Linked DNA regions of Coturnix japonica. The protein of the gene in region 1 purifies or fractionates together with the protein of each later gene. This does not show direct contact. Links are inferred from orthologs where the notes say so. Each region holds a gene or a part of one and is shown in the gene's direction. Other genes may lie near its edges.

Evidence for each region.
Region 2: the proteins of FYB1 (region 1) and LCP2 purify together in Homo sapiens (co-immunoprecipitation; 6 studies listed by BioGRID and IntAct, with this or other methods). This does not show direct contact. The link is inferred for Coturnix japonica from reciprocal best matches to the Homo sapiens genes FYB1 and LCP2.

Annotation. Positions count from the first base shown.
Region 1 is NC_029547.1:11,266,339-11,278,959, reverse strand, and holds the start of FYB1 (FYN-binding protein 1), read left to right. Parts: upstream 1-5,542; 5' UTR 5,543-5,703; intron 5,704-10,990; coding exon of another isoform or gene 10,991-11,017; coding exon 11,018-12,140; intron 12,141-12,621. UniProt on the Homo sapiens protein: Acts as an adapter protein of the FYN and LCP2 signaling cascades in T-cells. May play a role in linking T-cell signaling to remodeling of the actin cytoskeleton. Modulates the expression of IL2. Involved in platelet activation.
Region 2 is NC_029528.1:13,160,057-13,172,236, reverse strand, and holds part of LCP2 (lymphocyte cytosolic protein 2), read left to right. Parts: exon of another isoform or gene 1-145; intron 146-4,020; coding exon 4,021-4,086; intron 4,087-4,785; coding exon 4,786-4,817; intron 4,818-5,386; coding exon 5,387-5,421; intron 5,422-6,195; coding exon 6,196-6,403; intron 6,404-6,920; coding exon 6,921-7,021; intron 7,022-7,549; coding exon 7,550-7,607; intron 7,608-7,767; coding exon 7,768-7,851; intron 7,852-8,633; coding exon 8,634-8,659; intron 8,660-8,742; coding exon 8,743-8,762; intron 8,763-8,873; coding exon 8,874-8,978; intron 8,979-9,732; coding exon 9,733-9,763; intron 9,764-10,140; coding exon 10,141-10,153; intron 10,154-10,677; coding exon 10,678-10,798; intron 10,799-11,101; coding exon 11,102-11,151; intron 11,152-11,686; coding exon 11,687-11,790; intron 11,791-12,180. UniProt on the Homo sapiens protein: Adapter protein primarily involved in signaling pathways within T-cells, as well as other immune cells such as platelets, mast cells, and natural killer (NK) cells.

The DNA of each region.
Region 1 (12,621 bases):
TGAGAAGAGACTCTGAAATTGCTAATGGTTGCAGTTGGTGTAGAGTTTTGCACCTGGGAAGGAATAACTGCAAGTATCAGTACGGGCTGGGACATGAACTGCTAGAGAGAAGCTCTGTAGAGAAGGACCTGGGTGTCCTGGTAGACAACAGCTTGGCAATGTTTTCAAATTCAGCCATACATGTTACAGGTACTTACTTGAGAGCACCTGAAGTGTGAATTAACATCAGTTGCATATCATTAAAATATATATATATATATATTTTTTTTTTTGTCTTGACTTTGTCAGGGATTACTTGACTTTCCAAAATTGACTGTGAATACTGTTTTTATTTTTTTGTTAAATAAAAAGTTGTTAGTGACCGGTTATTTCCTTCAAAAATTTAAGGGAGAGATTTTGAAGAGTAAAGGCCCCTTGCTACCATCTGTGAAAAGCTCATGGCAAATGAGCTAGGTAATACCTGAACGGTCACAGATATCTGCTGCAAGTCTTCTGCTCAGAAGGGCAAAGAGTGAGAGCAGGACCATGCTTGGAGCTGGGATGTTTTTTAGGAAACATGGGATTCTGTTTTGCTTCTCCAAACTAAAATCAGATGAGCTGGCATGTGCTTAACACATGAAAAGCGTGAGAAATTTGCACGTAAAGGCTTGGGAAGCCAAGAGACATCCCCCTCTCCCCTCCCTTCTGTTCTGTGCAAACAGAATAGAGTTTGCACAACTGTTGGTGAGTTATTTGCATGTTCTTGAACATTTTTTTCCTTCTCAGGCAGAGGTGGAGAAGGACATGTTGAGGAAAAAGGGAAGTTAGGGGTGTTCTGCTAAGGATGTCTGTTCCTCTTGCTTTTCCACTTCTTCTTCCTGCTGGTAACAGCAGCTGGGGGCATGCTGAGGGGAAAGCCAGGCCAAATAGTTCCCCACCAAACCATTTATACTGGGGTATATGTGGGAGGTAATTGAATAACTTCTGTGTGAAAGCTGCTTCCTCCCTCATGTCCCAGCATATCTGCTAGGGGGGAATTCAGACCAGCAGACAATCACCCACTTGACCATGTATATTCCTCACTTCCCACCAAATACACCCTTCACCCAATTCAGAATTCCTCTCTTTTCCTGCTTCTAGGACACAGTAATTACTAAAGCTGTCCATCCTGAGGCCCTAGGACTGTATGCTGGTCCCAGCCAGCTATAGGGCATTCTCTGGCACTCTGAGTCTGGGCAGGGATAATGCAAAGAGGTAGAACCAAGGTGGGGCAGGGCAGGGAAAAGACAGGCTCTGCTGAGGTGCATGGTGAGGTGGGGGGTGGGGGGAAAGTGAGGGAGCACAACTTTGTGAAGAGACAAATGGCTGCCCACCCTTCCCAGCTGTCCTCTCCCCATATAAAATGCCCTGCCCAATTCACTGTGGCTGTGCCATGCTCCTCCACCCTCCTTCTTATCCCATTTTCTTTAGCCTTCTCCTCGCCTACTGATTCTAGCAGCTTCCTGCCTTGCATGCTTTACCGAGATGGCCCCCAGGCCTGTGGACAGGATATCTAAACTTTCTCCTTCCCATGAGCCCCGAGCTCACCACTGAAAAAGCAGCACTTAGCTTCATGCATATCACCTGCTATTTAGCTCATCAAACTATCTAATCAAGCTTCCAACTGTGCCCCTCAGCAAGGCATGAACTGTGGTGTGTGGGAAGTTAGGGGCAGTGAGGTGCATCTGAGCACATCAGGGTTGCTGTACATCACAGTAGGCTCTGAACTATCAGGAGAGTTTTTCTGGTGCCTGTGGATAGTTTAGAGAAGGCCCAGCATTCCCACGTCGTCCATCTAGAGAGAGGTTCTGCATCTAAACACAGATTTTGCCTTCAAGGAAAAGTTTCCTACGGTCTGAGCCAACAGGTCTCAGGTCAAGCTATAAAAAAGAAGTACTTCTATCTTTTCAAATGTAAGAGGGTTTTTTGTTTGTTTGCTTGTGCTTGTTTGTTTGTTTGTTTGTTTGTTTTTGTACTGCAGGGGCTTTACATCAGCTTTTGATGTTCAATGGAAGACCTATGCTCTGGAAGAAGTGGTTTAGTGCAGTGCTTACAGCCAAGCTGATCCACGAGGCTTGCACATGACTATGATACTCTGGGCTTTCCTCTGTGGCAGAAACATTTTCTTTATGAAGTTTAACTGGCACTGTCATCATCTTTTGCCTTCTTTCTTCAGTTTTCAAAATCTGCCTTCCATTAGTATAAAAAGATCTTGAGATGGTAATAATATTCAACACTTACAGGATTACAAGGATTTAATTATGGCAGTCTGAAAGAACAACAGCATCAACTTGATGCACTTTCAGAGAATCTTGCCTGTCAGCTGTCCACAAATAGTATCTGGGAAGTCCAGCTGTTGCTGTATGGGTGACAGTGCATTTAGACATGAGACAATGCCGTTAATTCGCTCATGACCACATCAAACTTCTGTCAGAAATACTAAAACCACTTTCAACTATCAGCGTTGTGGAATTGGAATAGCACACATTTCAGGAAGTCTGGCCCCATCTTGCAGATACAAAGATAACACAGACTGCTCTAACAAGAAATGTAGCAATAAAAACAGAAGCTCCTGCCAGTGTTCATGAATATCAAATTTCTACTGAAAATCAGGTACTTCCCAAAATGACTCTGTAACTGGATCATAGCCGTGGTTACCTGTCATGAGCAGCAGTTGTATGGCACTTGCTCTCAGCACTTACTCCCACGGTTGGCACAACAGGTCTAAGCAGGCATATTAACTCATTGTCTTGTCTTTAGACTGTGGTAGAATTGCTGAAATGTTATCTCCCAGGAGTGGCATGTAACTAGATATACTAACCCTGTGAAAACCGGAGCGTGCAACAGATTTTCAGTAGGAAATATACATAACCTCTTCTGCTGAGCCTGGTCTGCCACTAGGTGGCAAAAGACCTATGGGAGTTATGAGGAGACTGGAAGACGGGCTTCTGAGAGAAACTGAGTTGTCTTTCTCAAGCACTCCGCATATCTGCATGCATTTTACAATATGGGTGGAACAACTACCTTCTGACCCAAGAAGAGGACTGTCAAGCTTGCTTTATTGATATTAGTACACTTGTCTGTAGGGGTTTTCCCATGAACATTTATTAGACATGGTATAAGGATTATCTGGTCCAAAAAAAAAAAAAAAAATCATTTCTGTATTGTTCATCTCCCAGTCTCCCTCACAATCAATTCTGTTATGCCATCATACCTGTTTTGGAATCACATTGATCACTAAGATCAATGAAATGAAGCATGCTAAAACAACTTGGAAAGCAAAAATGTTGTGGTTTTGTTGTTGTTGTTGTTGTTTAGTTTTTTTCTTAATATAATTTCACCTCTCCAGTTCACAGCACATCAAGATACCAACACATCCATGTCTGTGACAAGATCATGACTGTGGCATTGTTTGTGAGCACTGACCTGAAAGCCTAAAGCTGTTCAGACAGTTGTGACTGACTACCATTCCAGAGTGAAGGACAACACCAATGTATGAAAGTTACCTTAAAGAAAAAAATAGCATCTTAAAGCAGGGCAAGTCAGAGGCACCTTTTCCCCCTTTCATCTTTTGTCTACTTATGATAAATTAAATTATTAAGCAGCCACTTTTCCCAAATATATGTGGAAACCAAAATTTGAGTAAATGCTCTATTAACAAAAAGCACACTTTATTATCACACTGCAGTGATAAATTTTGCTCCTGAAATTTTAGAAAGCCATTATTATGCTGGGCCTCAGATGCCAGTTTTGGTCTACAAAAATTCTGTAATGGCATGCTTCTGTACAAGAAAGTGCTATCTTTGTTTGATATGTTTGTGGTGCTTAAATCTGTGAGGCTGTTATTGCTGCTTCTGCTTCTGGTTTTGCAGAAAGTAGAAGGAAAGTATAAAACAGATCCAGTGTACTTTCAGGCTTGCAGGTCATGTTCTTTAAAATATTAATTCCTTCAGATATTGTTCAGATAAAAATAGCCAATTCCCCCAAATACTCAGAAATATATTCCCCTCTCCATGGAAAAAAAAAGGGGGGATCCTGGAAGCTGTTGCACCTGCAAGTAGAAAATAATCATACACATTGTAGATGAGCAATGGTCACAGCGGTTTTGCAACCTAATCTGTGATTTTCAGTGTTTTTGTTGCAATTCATTTTCTTGGCAGCATTCTATCAATTTGGAATGTCTTTACAACAGTGCAGTGGATGAAAGAGAAAACAGGAACTGTCTAGCGCTCAGAGCTGCGAACAGGAGCTCATTCTTTGATCACTGCCTGATACCGTGAGCCATGCCTTGCAGTAGTGTTTACCAGTGTGAAAAGACTACCTTGTTGCATATAGAACCATAAAACAGTTGTGCAGACTACCAAATAGAATACCAAGGTACAAAGTCCAATCTGCTTTAATGTTAAGGATAAAAGCTTCATCATTTGCGATGAATATGTATTTTCACAAATAAATTTGATTTTATTAACCAAATACAGGCCATAGCAGAATAAATATTGCTCAGAACTGCATTTGTCTTGCTAAAAAAAAAATACAACAGTGATGGAATTAAAAAAAAAAAATTGTTTTCATTGGCAAGTGACAAATAGAGATAAAGTAGTAGTATTTTTATCTCAGATAAGATTCATTCAACATTCCAATAGGCTTCTGAACTAGCTAAAATTAAAATGTTTGTAAAACCAATACAGAAATGTCAAGCACCTCCAGTGCTTTAAATAGACATTAAAAAAAATTAAAGAATGAGGAAGAACCAAACAACAACTAGTGAAGCTCAAAGACAAATTTTTTCAACAGCAAGCTCATTACAACGCAGAGCTGCAGAAACTTCACTGAGCTGTGCTCAGCAGAAGGTTCTGCCCCTATGGTTTAAATTTATCTTCAGCACAAGCACAGGTTTGGAGTTTCCCATAAAGCTCATTTTCTCAGTATCAACTTTCTTATCCTATATCATACTTTAAAGTCTTTGGTTTGTGCAGTAAACTGAGAGGCAAACAGTAAAAATAAATAAATAAGTAAGTAAACAAACAAATAAATAAATAAAATATGATCATTATTTAAAAACAACAACAGAAACACTGTTAAAGCAAAAGCTTGTGAGAAAGAATGGCCAGCAGAATGTCTTGAGAAACTATTAAAAAAAAATAGTGGGAGCAAAGAAACATGTTAGCTGACATCTTCAGTTGTTGAGTAGGAATGGATGCAGTGGTTCTAGTTGGCAGAAGGTGGTTAGACTTCATGACCCAAAAGGTCCACATGCTTTCTTCAAGTTTTTAATTCCCACAAAAATATTTTCTTAAATATTGTTCTGTAAAATTCAAGCTTATATGTACCATTATAGCTTCATGGGACTGCAGTATGGTGTAAATGAAATGCCGGAGCTCACAGTGCTCTTAGATATCATCTAATGAATATAGCTGGTGGCAGCAGCTGAGCAGTCTGAACATATTTTAGTTCCCTTTTCCTTTGCCACTTCTTGCCTAATATCCTGAGGACAGCAGCTTTTTTCTACTGGTCATGATAATGAAAACCACAAGCAAAGTCTCTCTTAGGCAAACCCTCTCTGAGAAGAACGCCTCTCAGCAAACACAATAGGCTGCTAATGTGACAAACTCCCGTGGACTATCTCATTGAGGGAGCCTGTTTTTCTGCTTATATTAAAATACTGGAGAGCTTTGGGAAGTCCAGGTAAATTGTACTTGTTTGTCTTATAAATAAAAATGCAAAGTTCAAGAAATGTATATATATGTATGTATAAATAGTGCAAGATATTTTACACAACCTTGTATAAGTGGAAATTCTAACTGTAAAATTTTCTTGCAACTAGTTGTTTGGCTGAAAAGTTGCCAAGTTGATGAGACTGTTTTTTTTCTCTCAAAGGTTTGTGTTTTGTTGCCTGAGTTTTTACTAAAAGCAGCCCTACTTTAAGTGACATTTGCATGTAGAAGACCAAGAGAAATTAGAGGTAATTATTTTCTAGATAATGTCATAAATTATCTAGCTACAACTCAGCCTAATCTTTTTGTATTATTTGTGGCTGTTGTTTTGGAGGTATATATTTTTTACATATATCATACTCTGGATTGAGACATCAGTGTAAGTATTTTTTTGTACTGGGTCATGGAAGATATTTTTCTTTCCAGCAGAGCTCCAGAACAGTATTTAATGGCTGAACACTGCACAAAATATCCTTTACAATGATATGGGATTTTGAAATTCTAGAAGTAGTTGTAGGAATTTTTCAGTGGCAAGAACTTGAGGGTTTTTTTTTTGTTTTGTTTTGTTTTGTTTTTTTGAGATTCAGACAAGATACATTAGCTTTAGTAGAAAGATCAGGATGATGCTGTATGCAGAATAGAGTAGAAGAATTACATTGTTCTTATTTTTTTATACAACATTATGGATTTGGTTTTAGGATTGCATGAAAGATGAGAAAACAATACAAGGGAGGGGTAAAAGAGTTTTAGTGGAATACACAGTGGAAAAGATACGGAATACAGTGTGGTCAGGTTGTCTGAGTTTGACAGCCACTTTTGTGTGTATGTGCTACTTTCATCTGCTGACATCAGATATTTCAAAAGATTTTATCAAGAGGATGTAGAGGCTGTTGGTCTTTCTCCGAGGAATCCCATAGATTTCCATCTATCCTTTCCATCATAAAGGTCTGCCTTTCAAGAAAGGCAAAGAGAATAACTGCCACACCTTTGAATATTTCCCATCTGAAATATAGGGCTCGTTACTTTGCAATCATTATATCTATCATTTCTACTATGTGAGCAGATGCTGTCTTTGTTTTTCACGTTTCTACTATTTACATCTGTAAGTACAGAATACTGCAGTATCTTGACTCCGCTTTTCAAATGTTGAACTCATAATCAAAAGAAGCCTTACTTTACTAGTTATTACAACTAGAATTAAGTCAAGTAACTTGGAAATTATTTATCTTTTCTGGAAATTATAATAATAATAATAATAATAATAATAAGTGCTGTACAATGGTAATTTTGAAGTCTCTCTGTCCGGAAAAAGAAATAGTCAAGCAAAATTTATCATTAATTTAGAACAGCACTAGGATTTTATGCAAACAGCTAAACACCCTCAGTCCTTTAACTTCTGTAGAACCTAAATTGGGCTTTTATATTTCCAACTGATTTTCAGGTCTGTATTTATCTTTAATTTTCACTGTCATTTTCTTTACCTTTTTTTCCCCTGTACCTTATACATTATATCTTGTCTGCGGATTAGAGCTCAGTTCCTTCAGTGGTTAGCAGCTTTTGTGATTTTTTCACAATAACAGAGTACATAAGTATGTGCACTTTTATTCTTAAAGTGTTATCTTTGTCAACTTTCTTGTGTTACTTTCTAGAAAACTCATCAATTCATTATTCTGTTTCAATACTAAGAGTTTTTAAAAACCTACTTAAACCATATCATCTGTTAATAGAAATAAAAAGTTAGAGATGAGAAGCAAAAAGAGTTCTTTCCCTTAATAAACCAGATCTAAACAACTTTTGAAGAACTGCACGATTCCTTGTACAGTCTATAGTAACACGCATTTTATTTACTGAACTAAAAATTGTATGCACACATCTGCTGATGCCTTCATTAATCCAGGGTTGCTATTTACTCGAAGAAAAAGAAACCACAAGGGAAAGCTGATGTGAAGTATTCTTTTGGCTCCATCAAGATGGAAATTAAATGATACATATTTACTCCGAAACAAAAGTGCTTATTTTGTCTCATATTGTTTTGTTTTTAATCAGGCTGCCAGTTTTGACTGACATTTACAGAGAAAATTCAGGAAAAAATAGATTTAGAATTTTTACTTCTGTTGTTATTATTCCGTTATTTTGAACAACAACAACAACAAAAAGTATAGTTATATTGTAAATAATGGCAAATTTCACTTTTAATTAAATTTCAGTGTAAACTCTTTGAAGAATTCTGTACAAATGCATCTTCATATCTGTGTGGGTCCTATCTGAAGGAACTGGAAAACGGGAAAGCACATTTATGCTAAACTCCTTGATCTACACATGGGAACCAAAACCAGAGTATTTTTCTAGATATGAGTCAAACACATTTAAATGCTTCCATCTCCTTGCAAAGAAATTCTTACTGTTTACCTTGTGCTGCTTCCAATTCAGTTCAAAAGGTGAAAGATTGGAAATATTCTGTATTAAGTCTCCTTAGAGAATGCAAACAGAAAGTTCCAAATATTACCTAAGTACTTCTTTCATGACACTCCTCTGTCTAACAAGCACATTGCATTTTGGGTAGGAACAATGGGGTAAACTTTGTCCAATTTCACAATCTTTTCAAGTTCCTGTTTCGTTAAGTACAACGCATTGTATGTGCTAAAGGAAAAGGTAACTGCTGCCACTTCTGGGAAGGGAAATGCAGAAACAGCAAAGATCACCAATAAAAGATTATCTTTATTCTTGTTCTCCATCTGTCTAACTGAGAAGCTAAACTGAAGCTTAGAATCCTCGATATGGCTTCTGTTATAAGTTTATTAAATCAGGAGATGATTATATACATTACAGAGAAGCAGAAGGATTTCTTAGTTTCTTACCCTCCTTGGATTCTTAGAGTGCTACCATCACTACTTATCTTCCTGTGAGTGAGACAAGTTATGCTGCTGATTGTAAGCCCCTCTACATCTCCAGGAGCTCATTTTTTATGAGTTTGTAGATCTGTTTGATGAGAACAAGGTTTGAAATCTATTCACAGTACCATAAAGACATTTTTAAAAACAAATCTATTGATGTTGGTAGTCCTTACAGAAAATAAACACTCTTAGCCAGGCAGTAGAGGATTGTTTATTGCCTTTGAAAGCCTGTATGATCAATTATGTAATTGATCTTGTTATTGCCATGATATAGAAAAGTTCTCAGAAACTGCACATCACAACAGGAAAACTTTCTTGAAAGCCATACTTCAAACTTCCAAAAAGTTTATGTGCTGAATATTTTTCATCCCAAACTTTCACATTACTGTGGCTTAGTACAGAATGGTTTCCTTAATTACAAATGGAAGAAACTGCAGAAGAATCAATTTATTCCTATATCTTTCAAAAGAAATAAGCTTCTGTGATGGCCAGGTTATTGATTAGATTGTCAGTTACAAGTTTTGAATACTTAAAACCCTGTATTTCTGATTGTTTAGATTTTGCTACAGAAGTTATAAAAACAAAGAAACAATTTAAAAATAAATTTAAAAAAAATTAAAAATAGCATTAGTCCTGATTCAAGAGAGATCAAAGGTAGAACATTTTGTCATTCTTTCTGGCTTTGAAGTTAGCCTAGTTTTCTCATCATGTGGGTAAAATCAGTGCTTTGTGAGGCTCTATGAGAAAAATCTTATATATATGTACATATACATATATATATGTATCTATGCAGAGTAACTGTGTGTGTGTCTGAGCGTATGTATAGCAACCAACAGTAGATAGCTTAAGCCTGATAATCTCCATGGTAAATGTGTGCTTCCTCCCTTTCCTACAAGAGAAAAATAGATAATTAAGTACTCTGGGGATAGCTTTCATATTGTTTTGGCTGCTTTTCTTTTAGCAGATAGCTAAAAGAAAGACAGTAGCTCTGTAATACAATGCAGTTTGGAAAGACTGAATTTCTTGGTGATACTGAAAGACTGGGAAGGTTAACTTTATGTTGCAGAAGTCACAAGTGAAACTACTCCAACATATCAGGAAATTCAACATGATAAAACCAAAAAGAAGGCAAAAGGAGTAGACAACCACAGTTCAGAAGATCTTGTTAATGAAGTTAAAACATTACTGAATGCTCACTGAAACCGTACTGGCTGAAGGCACAGTTCATTTATTGATCTTACTCTAAAAGGATTTTTCAGACCATTATATACAGGATAGTGATAATCTTTGTTTCCAAACAAAGAATTTAGATCAGTTCCTAGCTATAACATCCCTGCTTCATAACATTAGTTTTACATTTTGACCTTCCTTCATAAAATGGATCTTAATTAGTAAAAGCAGTTCTGACACCACTGTCTGCTGGCAAAGGAGCAGCCCCTGCTGCTGGTGACAGCTGTAACACAAGAGTGGACTCAGGCCATTGTGGTGTGACCACCTTACTTCCCTTTGCTAAGATCTTTCGTTGCACTGTGTAACAGCTGCAATGTATCAAACTGTATTCAGCTTTTATTCACAGTTCATATTGAAGGCTGAAAGTTCTTAAAAAGAGCTGTCCAATTCAAACATTTTCTAATGAAACTGAGTTTTACCCACTTTCAACTGTTCATCTTCTTCCTTTTCTCTTTCTTACAGTATTTTTGCTTACTGATTGTCATTTCTTCCTATTTTGCTCCATATATTTTCACTTTCAGTCTATCCATGTACAGTGTTTATCAGATACAAAATGGAGAACAGAAACAAGGACAAAGCAGGGGAAGGTGGAGGGTAGTAGGGAAGCAACTTGCTCAGAAGGGAAAGAAAATTTGACATACAATCCCCCCAAGACAGAAGACTTTCTGTTTATGCAACTTTCAGTTCTCCAAAGATCTGATGTGAATAACACTATTCTGATGTATTTTTCAGATTCCAGTGTATTCTATGCTTCTAAGCATAGGATACTTGTATCTTCAGGACTACTTTAATTTTGAAATTGTGGATATCTTCATGTAAATATGTACTAGGTGTTTACTTCCTAGTTCCAGAAATAATCAGTAATCACTCTGTGAACAAAAGGAACAGAATGACTACTGTCTGAATGCAGAACCTGTAGTGAAAAATTTAAAAGATTATATAACCACAGCAAGGATACAACAAAGTGCTTAGCATTTCTAACCCTACAGGAAGATGTGCTACAATATCTCCACAGCCAATCAGCAGTACTACAAGCGTCAGACCAGGAAATTCTTTAAAGTACAGTATGTGTGAACATTTCAACTGACACTTTCTCATTGTTTCTTTTTCTTTGTCATTTCTCTATGCCCATAGAATGGAAAGGCAAATGTGAAGTCACTCATGGCGAAGTTTAACGTGGGTAACAACCCCTCAGAGGATGTTTCTGGCAACATTCGACTCTCTAAAGTCACAGGACAACCAACCCATTCAGGATTACAAACAAGGAAAGCAGTATTTGAGAAATTTGCAAGTCAAGGAAATGCAGCTTCTTCTTCAGGATCCAGTGTTTCTCAAAAACCTGCTCATTCTAAGCCTCCTCTGGCAGTCAAGCCTTCAACTGAAGATAAGACAGAGAAGGATCCAAAGCCCCCATATCTGAAACCAGTGGGGCAAAAGTTTGGGGTTCAACTTCAGGCAACTAATCGGGAAAGTGATGGAAAAGCTGGATACACTAAAGCCCCTACCAAAAGCAGTGACATGGCAAAAGAAGAGACGAAGCCTCTGTATCCAAAACCTGCAGGGAACAAGCCTCTTAATTCAGCTCCTCAAGAGAAGGAAAAAAAGCCCCTGGGAACAAAGCCAAATTTTAATTCCGAAGCACAAGAGAGTGAAGAGAAAACATCTTTTTCAAAAGTAGCCGGAGTTAAGGAAAAGTTCATGTCTGCCACACAAGAAAATGATTCCAAGCCTTCTTTCTCCAAACCGGCTCTTGCACAAAAGCCTTCTGTAAACCATGCAGTTTCCCACAATGAAGACACCTCAAGTAAAAATGTTTCCCCACATAAAGGTCTAGCAGGCCCTAGACCAAATATACATTCATTTAAAGCAAGAAAGGAAACGGATGAAAATAGTAACTGCGCAGCAGAAACTGCAAGCAGTCATTTTTCTAACATGGCTCTGAAACCTACTGGTCACTGGTCCAGTGCATCTCAAGTCACTCCCAAAAATGCAGAGGAAAAGACGGAAGAAAAGGGAGTGAGTGCCACCAGGAATATCTTTCTGAACAAAATCATCCAGGAAGAATCTGGTTTATCTCCCCCCAGATTCCCTAAAACAAGCACAACGTTTGCTACAGGAAGGTCGTTGGGTGGGTCAGACGAGAAGGATGACTTGGACAGGAGCTCAGGAGCTCCAAAACGGAAGTCTTTGCCCCCGCTGTTCAAGCTGGGACCACCCCCACAAAAGCCCAGCCGACCACCCAGCGTGGACCTGGAAAGATTCCAGAAGAGCATCCCAAGAGACAGTGAGTCCTCTATGTTCTTCCTTTAATTTCATTTCTACCCCTTCAGCAATCAATTCATTTCAGGTAAAATTGTCAATTCTGTTCAAAAATAACACAAAACCTGTGCATTAGAGAGCCCTTAAAGCCTTAATATATGCTTTTACCTGTTCTGGGCAGGACAGAAATTATACTATTTCTCTCTCAGTAACACATAGTGTAGGAGGAATATTTTCTGTATTGGGTTTATTTGTTTTTCAAAACTATAACTTGTAGCAGTGAGTCTGAGTACTTTTCACAGCAGACATTGAAGTACTGACTTCCTATAACTGAAGTGTTGATGTTCTCTGTTCTGTTCTCTAATGAACTTCCTGAGCACATCTTGATATCTATCTAAGTGATAGTAAACCTGTTGTAACCATACATTTTTTTCTTCTTTGACTAACCACATGGCCCTGCAAGCCAATGAATTTTATAGTGTTCAGAATGTTAGAAAACTATGTAC
Region 2 (12,180 bases), on another chromosome or scaffold:
GGAAAAAGAACTGACTGTCATTTAAGGAAAACAAACAAACAAACAAACAACAGCACAATTAACAAAACAAATTTTCTCTCTTACTTCTCTTAGCACTTGTGGAAATCTGCAGTAACAAAACTGCATCCCTGCAATAAAGCACATAATTACATCTGACAGTTCAAACGTGGTACGTGTACAGAGTTCTGAATGGGACCCATTCAGAACCTGCAGACGTGGCACAGCCTGGAAGTCATGCTGCTTTCTGCAGAGTAAAAGCTGCAGTCTTAAACAGTAAGAAATTTACATAATGTCCTCCTCTTTCAAAAAAGCAGAGGTGAATGACAGCTTCTGCCAGTGTTTCCCACAACATCCTCATAGGTAAGCTTAGCAAGCATGGGACAGATGAGTGCACAACAAGGTGGACTGAAATCCATCTGCCTGACAGAGCTCAAAGGGTTGTAATTAGTAGCACAGTCTAGTTGGAGGCTTGTAACTAGAGGTGCTCTCCAGGACTTGGTACTAGCTCTGGTCTTTAACATGTTCATCAATGATCTGGATGAAGGCATAGAGTCCACACTCAACAAGTTGTTGATGATACGAAACTGGGAGGAGTGGCTGACACACCAGAAGACTGTGCTGCCATTCAGAGAGACCTGGACAGGCTGTAGAGCTAAGTGGGGAAGAACCTTAAGAGGTTCAGTGAGGGCAAATGTCAAGACCTACATCGGGGGAAGAATAACTGCACACATCAGTACAGGTTAGAGGCTGACCTGCTGGAAAGGAGCTCTGCATAGAAGGACATAGGTGTCCTGGTGGACAACAGGTTGAACTCAAGCCAGCAGTGTGCCCTTGTGGCCAAGAAGGTCAGTGGTATCTTGGAGTACATTAAAAGGAGTGTGATCAGCCAGTCAAGGCAGGTTCTCCTCCCACCCTGCTCTGCCCTGGTGAGGCCACATCTGAAGTACTCTATCCAGTTCTGAGCTCCTCAGTTCAAGAAAGACAGAGAACTTGTAGAGAGAGCCCAGCAGAAAGCTACAAAGAAGATTAGGGACTTGGAGCTTCTCTTATAAGGAAAGGCTGAGAAATTTGGGACTGTTCAGCTTGGAGAAGACTGAGAAGGGATCTTATCAATATATGTGAATATTTAAAGGCAAAAGTCAAGAGGATGGGGCCAGGTTTTTGGTTTTTTTTCAGTGCTATCCAGTGTCAGGGCAAGAAGAAATAGGCCCAAACTGGATCCCAGAAAGTTCCATCTGAACATATGGAAAATCCTTAATTTGAGGATGACAGAGCACTGGAACAGGCTGCCCAGAAAGGTTGTGGAGTTTAAAACTTAATTGATACTCAGTCTGTTTAGAAGGCAACATAATAATGTTGCATCTGCCCAACAGACATTATTCAAAGGCCACAACAAAGCCTCCATCACAAACTATGCCCTTGGCAGCATTCAAGCTATGCGACTTTCTGGCCTTAGAGCACTTCATCCTCTTTCTATTTCACCTGTCCTAAGTTCTTCTTCCTAATACACGCAGAAAGGATTCTATTCATTTCAGCAATATCTGTACTAACCAAACAAAAGTCATTTTAGGAGTACTGGTGTTTTTGTAGTTGTGTGGGTTTTTTTAACTTCCTGCCAGTTTTAAGCTAAGTGCCGGGTGAAGGGGGCAGAAAGAGAAAGAGAAGTCTGAGTAACATTTTCTGCAAGAGCTGTTGCCTTATCCTGCCCTATCACACACTCCCACAACTCAGAAAGCAGTGTGGTTTCGGTACTTCCTTCCTCACATAGCTACAGACTCAGCTGCTCTTTGCACGTACCTTCTGTAATGAAGTTGCTTGTAAAGTTACCATTTTAAACCAGGCTTTCTTTTCTAAGCCATTGGTTTGAACCATTTAAAATAAACTCAAATACTACATGCTGGATTTTAAGCAGAAAATGATTAATTTGCTGAGCGAATACAATGAGCAACTTTTCTCTTTCAGTTTTCCCTCAAAACTGGGTGATGCAAATTGTCACAACAGCCAGCCAATGTTCAGTCCATAAAGCCTGCAGACACTCAGGTCATATTCACACCCGTGGGACTCTAAACTGAAACAACTATTAACTTTAAAGCCCGTGGCCTTTTCTTTACTTCTTTAGCAGAAACTGAGCTCAATATTTTGAAAGACACTTCCTCAGCCTCTCCTATGATGCTGAACCAGCCAAACACAAGTTTTGTAATCCACTTCTCTACAAAAGCACGTGTCTAAGCAGGGCACAGTTCTCACCAGAACATTTCCTGATGTTTCACTGGAGTCTTACTATTCACACAGCAACTTACTGATCACCAGCAGCACTAGATTTATTGTGCATGCAAGCATCGAATCCACAGGAAAAAAGAGAAGCTTGTAATTCAGGTATTTTCTTCCCTCGTAGAGTTTGCTTGGGTGACAACACCAGATTGAGATAGTGATAATTCTGTAACCATTCTTAAGTTGTTAACATTTGTGCATGTATTTATTTCAAAAGGGGCAAGTATGACATTTGCTTCAACTTGGAAATTTGCAAAAAAGTCCTAAAAAAGAATCCCCCCAGAACATTCTTCCTCTATTTTCATAGTCTTCCTTGAGTCCACATCTCTAACTTAAAATCACCCATTTTATCACTTTTAGATATTTGTTATGAAATTACTTGTTATCTGATACTTGCTGGTACATACTGGGGAACAGCAGGCATTTACTTGGCTCAGGATTACAAAAATAGCAGTTTTTTATTGGCTTTTTGTTAAATGCTAGAGCACTTGAAAGCTTGCCTTACTCAGGTTCAGCCCAGAAAAGCAGTTATACATGAAAGAGATGCCCAAATTAGATAATTAGGGGATCAGTGTTGGTAAGTAGCAGAAAAAGATACAAAACAGGAAGGAAAACAAGATACTGGTAACAGAATGGCAATTCCTGGACACATACAATGATTTTAGAATACTGTTAGAAAGTTTATTGCCAGATCTAAGATCTATGGCAAATAAATCTACTCTTACAAACAGGAAAAATAAGCTTTTACAGAATTTAGAATCTGACATAAGCAGACCCATTTGGTTCCTGATTTTTCTCCATAATACTTTTACTTCCACATTCTGCTAGACTTGTCTAATATCAGCAAGTCAATTGGGGTATTTTCAACCATATGTGTGTAACCCATTTGCTTTGGCTGCCGCAGGACTTTCTGAGTGGACTTCCTATTAAAAGAAATGAGATGTAAGAATCAGAGTATGACTCAGAACATGTTTTCTTTGAAACAAAAGCTTTCTTTGAAATAACATCATTGTCGAGGTATGGATGCCAGCAATAAGTGCAGCTTAACTGCACGCTCCTGGCCTAAAGATCTTTGAGGACTGTATTTCACTGGTTGTTATTCACCCTTAACACAGTACATAAACTACGCATGACTGATGACAAACACATCAAAATCTCTCTAGACATAAAGATCTACTCTTCTTACGTTTCATTTGTAGCTCTGCCCTGCATAAATGTTATGACATGGAACTGATGGGATGGACACCTAATTGTGCATATAGTGACTGTGGAGGAAGGGGGACAAAAAGAAAAGTTGCCACAAGATGCACTTAATTTCAACTCTGTGACCATAGGCTTAAAAGAGGCTGACTCCTGAAATAGCATCCGCTTTTCTCATGCAAAGTAATACAAATGTAAGATGATTATTTAAAGCACTGCTCTAGTGCCTGACGTCTACCACACCCCAAATTTCTAAGGCTTGCTGAGCTTAACATTGATATTGAAATTTGATCCAAAAATACAGGTTCTTCTCCATGTGAAGAAGTCCAACATCCAGCTGCATAGTTACAAGCCATTCCTTTTTCTTTATGCTACAGTGTAGCTTTGCAGTAAGAAGAGAAATTAAGTATTCTTACCACATAGTAAACGATAAATCCAAATCATAACATTTCATTTAATGGTGGTAAAATGGGAGGAAAGCAGCTAAGAAAGTGACTGCCAGGTTTCAAGGAGTATTTTTAAAACTACTTCTGTGGTTCTTTTAAACAGCATTCTGAGTAAACTAAGTCAAGATATAAACCGAAATGAAGGAAGGATCTCTTTCTTCTCAAAATGGTAAGTGAAAAACTCTGATTTCTTTTCAAAAGTTATCAGTCAAATCTTTCCTGGACTGTTATTGGTTTGATCCACAACACCTGTGTGTCAGAGGGATCACCTGCGAAGTATATAAAATAAAACTGTGTTGTTAATGCTGTCTGTTAAAAATAGGAGTGTTTGAGCTCATGAACAACCTGGATCCCTCTGTCATGTCTGAAACCAATAAAGATACAAATTTCATGCAATTTTCTAACTGAGTAAATTACTCTTTCAGAATGCTATAAAATATGGACACATTATATTAATGAGTCAAAATTAATGGAATTTACAGACCTGTACATCATTACACTTCAAAATGCATCACAATTTACTGACAAATATATTATATGTTAAGTTCTATTCCAAGGACTGATGTTCCCGATAGATTTACTCACTGAGTTTCACTTAGTTTCATACACACCACCTCACTGACTTGGCCTTGTATTCAGGACAGTTGAGCTGACATTTGGTGACTGTATGTGAAATATAAAGTAGTGTGTTTATGGTATTTTGTGTGAAGTTGAACTAATTAAAACAAATTTCATTTTACTTTACAATCTAAACGTTAGCTTTGTTAGCAATTCAGTGTACTAGGTTTAGTGCATTACATTTTAGTGCACATAAAACGTTTAAAAATTGCAATTGGAAGGAATTTATTTGTTTATATCTTTGTTACAGGGGCCAAACACAAAAGTGTCCTGAAAACTCAGGTAAGTGCGTACTGACAGTCTCTAAGCACAAATAGTGTGTAAAAACATTAAACCAGTAGGTTCTTCTTTGTAGAGTACGATAAGCGAGACAAGGCAAAGCAAAAAAAAGCATAAAAGAAAAATTGAAGAAATAGCAAAAAGTTGCACACTTCAGCAACAATTGTACTAATGAGAGAATGCTCCCCCAGGTCTACTGACATTAAAATGACTTTAGATTTAATTGCCATAGCAATTTTTAAGAGATACAAAGGCTGTGCTTATTCTGAGAGCATTCTACTTCAAATGATTTTTAAAGCATGAAGAACAGGACAAACTAGATGAGACACTGTATAATCTCACATAAGGAAAGTTTTACTCTTAGTTTCAAACAATAATGTTATTTGTAGAACCTTGCATGAGCTACTTGCGGATGCCAGTCTGCCTGCCTTTGACAGGCCTACATTGTTGCTGCTATAGTAGGAACTGTGGCATTGTGGTTCAGAATGAATTTGGGATGGTTTTTTGTCCTTTTATTTCAAATAATGTCTTGACATTTTCAAATTTTACTGTGCTTAAACTTCTTTATGCAGGATACGGTCAAGAAGATGATGGCTGGTCTTCATTTGTAAGTATGAGGACTAACATAACATACTGGTCCAACAGTAGACTGACTCAACTTTTCTGTAATCTCTATTATTTCTTGCATTACCTACTTTAGACAGTATGGATGGATCAGTCAGTAGCACGGGGTGTTAGGCTAAGGAAAAAGAGAAGCCTGAATGATTGGAGTAGCTGCATGCAAATTTCACTGAGGAATGGGCTTTTGCCCAGTAATACGAGGCAGTGCTTTGCAACAGCAGATTTGTACCACTGATTCAAGTACAAGCTCACAAATTATGACTAGCTAAAGTTTATATTCCTATTTCAAGCTCTTGAAAGCAATCGTTAGAAAATGGAAGGTTACTGTGTTATTCAAGGGCAAAATCCTGCTATTTTGTTCTCTATAAAGTTTACTTTTTGAAAAATCCAATCAATTTCTCAAAGCCAGACAGACTGCAAAGGATGCTTTCTGTCTTTCAGCATACTAAATGCACTGGTAAACTTCATTAGACGAAGCAAACAACCCCAATGTCTAAGAATACTTCTTCTGTAAGTCAAGGCAGACAGCACAGAAGATGTGTGCAATGACCGCTACCATGCTTACACTGCAATCTTGTTAGGGCCCAATAAGATACTAGTGGTATATGTCTGGTTTTGTTCTGGTCAGAGTATCCAGACCTGTATCACAAACCTCTTTTATTTTTTTTTTCAGAATTGTTTCTAAAGTCCGAATTCAGTCTGTAGAATACTGCAAAAAAGTAACCTGTTATAGCACTCATCTTTTATATATGTTGGTCAGGATGATCAGGATGAAGATGACGACTATGAAAGCCCTGATGATGACCAGGAAAAGGAAGACGAGGCTGACTATGAATCACCAACGGAAGAAACTGAGGAAGCAGAACATGACAGTGATGGCTATGAGCCACCTCCATCCAGTAATGATGAAGCACACCACAATGTCATATTTCCTGCCAAGTCACTTGCGAACAGCACAGACTATATAGGTAATTACTAGAAAAAAATAAAAAAAGTAATGTTTTCACATTATCATTTACATTTACGTGGCTGCTAACGGGATATAGAAGGCTTTATCTCAAAGCAGCACAGATGCTGCAAGTTCATATCTTTATACCTTTTAAAGCTAAATCTTCTACTTCAGACAAGCTCTGTTGGATTAAAGATAAGTTTCATGTGATGTGTGCACAATCTGGCTCTTGGTTTGGAGCCTGCATAAAGTTTAAGAAAAATTTACATACTATTTTAGCTTTAGCAGTTGTTCCTTGATCAGAATGAGTTACCAGGCAGGTACAGTCCCACCATCAAGGGGACAGATGAGCATCTAGCTCCCAAAGGAACACTAAATCATACACTATCATAAAGCAACAGCCCATTAAACACTAACATAATATCTGTATGATACATCAGATCAAGTATGCAACATCTCTTCATAAAGATCTAATGAGAATAAAATAACAAAACCGTTTTCATAGTTGTTGAGCTTGGGATTTTTCTTTTCTTTAGACAGGCCTCCAACAGCCAGATCATCACATCAGCCTCCACTACCACCCCAGCGGCCTGGCCCAAGCCCATCACCAGCCTCATTTGGGGGAAGAGGTGCTTCTGTATGTTTCTCTCTTGATATTTCAGAGCAAATGAAATACTTCACCTATTTACTTTGACAGTACCTAGGAGGAATCCAAGTGTAATAAATAAATTGTTATTCAATTATTATGTGTAGAGGAATAAGAAAGTTTTTAAGGTGTCAAAATAGTTGAACTCTTATAGAGTGTGGGTTTTTTTCCATGGAACAATACAATTTGATGGGTCAGATATTAAACTCTTTCACAGTCTTTGTTTCTTATAAGTTCTCATTAGTTGTGTCCTAGATTGCTGCACTATTTGTTGACCCAGCTCTCACAATAAGAACAGTCCTTCAGAACATCCCTATAAAATATTCCCTATGAGACAGATGGTTCTATATGAGACAAAGAACCACACGTCGGTCATTCTTCAGGAGGGTTAATGACTCCTACCCATCTTATAGTGGGAAGAGACCAATTCTTTGTGCTTAACAAGACTGTCAGATATGATGATGTGTACATTAAAATAGAAAGGACAGATTTTAACCATGTGTAAAATGTTTGTTTTAGCTGCCAGCCTTCCCTCCTCTGCCAAGCAACAATGACAGAAGTGTTAAGCCTTTGAAACGTAAGTCCAGCTGTTGTTTTCTTTGTCAATGGGCTACATAGCACTGCCTGTAACTCCTCAGCTTCATTTTCTAATACTTTTTTAAACAGTTAATAGCTTTGCAAAATAAAGTTATGTCGACCTGTACCAGCGCAATGTCTTACACAGTTTTTGTGTTTAGCCCCAGCTCCTTCTATAGACAGAAGCACAAAACCCTCACTGGATCGCCTTGCTCCACCATTTGAAAGAGAAAGCCCACTACCAGGTCAGTATTTGCTTATCAATAGCTTGAATGTTAGTACAAATAGCAATAATCAAAATTGTCAGGTCTAATAGAATTCATGCAAAAGATCAAGGCTCAACTAAATGTACATAACTGAATTAAAGTACAAGGTGATCTGTTTTGGAATAAATAACGTGAGAAATACTTACGTAGCAGATCAGGGCTGGTTGATCAGAAAGACATTATGAGATTACAGCACAACGATGGAATAAAATAAGCTAAGTGAATGATCATAGGAAAACTTAGCAGGTTAAAAGAGGGAACAGCTTTGCATACAAGGATAATAAAAATCTCTATGTAGTTCATTACCAGACTGAAAAGAAATGCTGAGAACTTAAACACAGAAAGGAAGGAAGAAGGGCATTTGTTACAGACTTTAATACTGTACTTTACAAAGAAAGAAACAGACTACTTCATGGTTTCTATTCCTTATCTACTTGGTACACATCAGTATGGAAGCATTCTGGAATTCAAAGCTGAATCATGGAAAATATTTTTGTAAAATATGCCATTTTGAAAATCAAAACTTTTTCCTTTTATAAAAGATCACAGAATCAGAATCACAGAATTATCAAGGTATCAAGATACTGCAATTCTTCCAGTGCTTATAAAATCAAAATCTTTGTCTGGCTTCTATGTCAGGAGTCCTCATGCTTCAATTTGCCAAATATTGCCATTGATAATATTCAAAACTTCTTTCTCATAGAAAGTTTAATTATCTGCAGTTATGTTTTTTTCTAAACATAACCTTTTATTATTTTCAGGGAGGAAGCCAAGCCATCCTGAGAAGGTGAGATCTTTTAGTTTGGTCCTTACATGCTTTTAACCTGTTTTGATATCCTTAGCTCTTAACTATTCCTTGTTGTTTCGCAGCTTCTAACTCCACAGCTAAGGTAAGAAGTTTTGTTTTGCCTTTTGACATGAGACTCTTGATGCCAATATTAATCAGTTTTTTCACATTAATAAATTTTTGCCTTTATTTCATCATCTTGCTCCTGCTTTAGAGCCCTGGGAGAACAACTAGCAATGATGCCAAAACCTCCTGTACCACCAAGTGATAGATACGAAAGAGGAAATCCATCTCCTCTAAGGAAGCAAATCCCTGCAAAGTAAGAGTTCATTTACTTAATTAAATAATAATGAAAATATAAATGAAATTAAACACAAATGTGGATAAGTAATGTAGGATGGTATAATTAAATGCTACTGCATTCCAGTACTGTCTACACACATCAAAGTTTTGTTTTAACAAGAATTAAGTTATATATTAACATTTCATAAATGTGCTGTTTGCTGCAGAAAAGAGAATGCAATAAGAGCTGCCTGTCAAGTCCTAGCTCAAGTAGCCATCACACATCAGGGCTCCCCTCCTACCAGCATAAAGAAACATAGGATCCATATTTTAACCACCAGATCAAGGTCTTGCTCTAAGAAACATTGTTTTGTGAATCCCAAAGATATTTTGTGTGGAGTATTAGGAAGAAAAAAGGCTTGCTCTCCTATTATGAGCCTGCAAAACCCAGAGCAAATAGCATCCTATAGCAAAATATTGATAATTGTCTAGATAACATAGACTGAATAGCGTGATCGATTTTGAAACAAAATAAAGAAGTAATTGAGATCTGCTAAACAGTTAAGAATATCTGTCAAATAAATGAAGGCTTGAAGGTTCATCTTGTGTTCCAGCCATCACAGAATCACTGAATCATAGAATGGCATGGGTCCCAATGTTGTGGAGTTCTATGGGACAATATAATTTACTAGAAGTTTGTGTATTAATTGAAAATATAGCCCAATGCACATCAAGTGAATGGGGAATATTCCATCTTCGATTCATATTTTGTCTTCTCTGTTTCATTTCAGGCAGGGCTGGGCACAACAGAAAAGACCTGAAGTAAGTATAGTCCCAAAGCAAGTGTGTAAAGATATAGGAACTACAATAAAATAAAGTACCTGTAAAACTAATAGTTCTGGGAAAAGTAAACATTTCTGTTTGATGGATCTTTCACAGTGCTTTGTTTCTGGAATGAGGAAAGTTCACAATACACTGGGTCAACATCTTGTATGGTATTTGTACTTCACTGCTTATTTGTAAATAATAGCTGCACCTCAACAAAAGAACTTTAAAAGTTATTTGGTGTTGTATGAAGACAAACTCCAGCATTTTAGATAGCCTAGATAACGTAATCAAAATTTATCAACTTCCAGCTCTTTGCTTTGTAAAACAGCATGCTATGAGTTGCTAACATTTGTTTTCTCTTGGTTCCTCAGGAAGAAGACAACCGTAAGTATTTCTTCTCTAACTTTAAAGTTTCTAGAGCTCTTTCTTTTGAGCAATTTCAGAAGCATAACTTGCTTCATGTAATAAGCATTCCATATAAGTAGTAATTTCTTTGTAAGTTCCTATTACTCAGTTTGTAAAGCGACTTCATAACAGAAGCAGAACATTTGGCCAAATCTTTATAACTTACCCTTGTCTCTAAGACTCCATCAAGAACAGGGCCATAGGACCTACAGTTGAGGCCTAAGGATGCTGCAAGAAAAATATCATTTCAGTAGTGTCCAAAATGTAACTTACATAATGTAAATGTTCCAGTCTGCTCTATTTTATTTTTAATCTAATTTTACTCTCAGTTTCCTTAATATTGAGCCCTTAGTTGACCATACGAGATTACAGTCCATAGCTAAAATATCAAGGACTTTGAAATAAAAATCTCTATTAAGTTTATCTAACTAAACAGCAGAAACGTGATGGGATTTCTTCATTCTAACTAAGGCAACTTTTACATTTTCTTCTCTTCTCTACAGATATACCCCAAAGAGCAGTGCCACAGATATCTTTGCCCCCACACAGCTCCAATACATTCCCATCAAAATCTATCAAGCCCCTGCCTAAGCCAGGATCCAACAGTATGCCTGGTGCTGAAAGGTTTGTTTCACCTATTGCCATCTCATTCCTTTTGAATTCTAATGTTTGTTTTTTTATATGTATATAATATGCATATATATAAACACCCAGATACTGAGCTCCAATTTATTGGTGGATCTACTTACATCAAAGAAAATAATAAAAAACAAAGAGAAGGCTGTTCTCAATCCTTCATAGGACTCAGGGAGATGCCATGTTCTGTAAAACAAGCTTACAGTCCAGATCAGTATTTAAAAGCATAGTAATGTTGCACAGCAATGACACAATATACTGAGTAGTTTATTTTGTTTTGTTTTAACACAGTGCTAGAAGCCTGTCTGCAAGTGGCTCACTACCACCTCGCTTTCCCCTGGGTTTGTATCCTATACTTGTGGATTTTATGCACAAACAGTGGCTCAAGGCTGCAGGGCAGTTTCAGTACATTATTCTGAATCTAAGAAGATTTTCTTCTACACAAAGTTTGGGCTTATAGACTTTTTAAACCACTGCCAAAATTCATACAAATATTTTTCTCCAATAACAACACTGAAAGCTGAGCAACACTACCTACAAATCACTGTGGCATGTGAATAGCCTCGACAAAGGAAGAAAACACTTTTCCATGTGAAATATGCTGCATCTATTAATATTAATTCCACTTTTAGAGAAATTGGAGATACCTTCAACTGATAAAAATTACCTGTGCATTAAGAGTGAATTTATGCAGTGAATGTGGTTTTTATACATTAGTCTAAATCTGATTTCAAATCAATTTGAAACATATCATCAGAGTGATACAAATTCATCATGCCTTGCAAAGTCAAGATTCACCACCATATACCCGTATGCACTCCCCAGATGAAATTATTTCCTGATATTGTTTTCTATTCTTACTCTGAAATCTTAAAGGCAACAACAGCAGATCTCCTTCAAGAGGCACAGCTGATTTGAGACCTCCATTGCCCATTCCTAGCAGGCAGACTGCTCACCAGACAAACACAGATGAAGATGAGGTACAAAAACATCACAAGCGTTAACTGTAATAACTAAACACAGCAAATATGCTCATTTTGAGAGAACTGTTTTCAAAGCTTTTCTTTTTCTGTGTAGCAGACATTGTCAGGATGGTAGTTGCTACTTTCAGTTTCCTTTTCTGCATTAAGATTTAGTGACTTATTTTGTCTACACTGAGGAAAAAAAAAAAAGAAAGAAAACAGAAAAAACAGCAGCAAAAAAAACTTGTAGAACAAAGTGTGAGAATGACCTGCCCGCTGGATAACTTGTTTTGCACAATTGCTTTAAATTAGTACTACATATTAATTACTTTCCACAAAACCACAATGAGAATTCATACCCATTAGGCGCATTTTGTTTCACACAGCTTTAAATATGCCAAGGTTAGA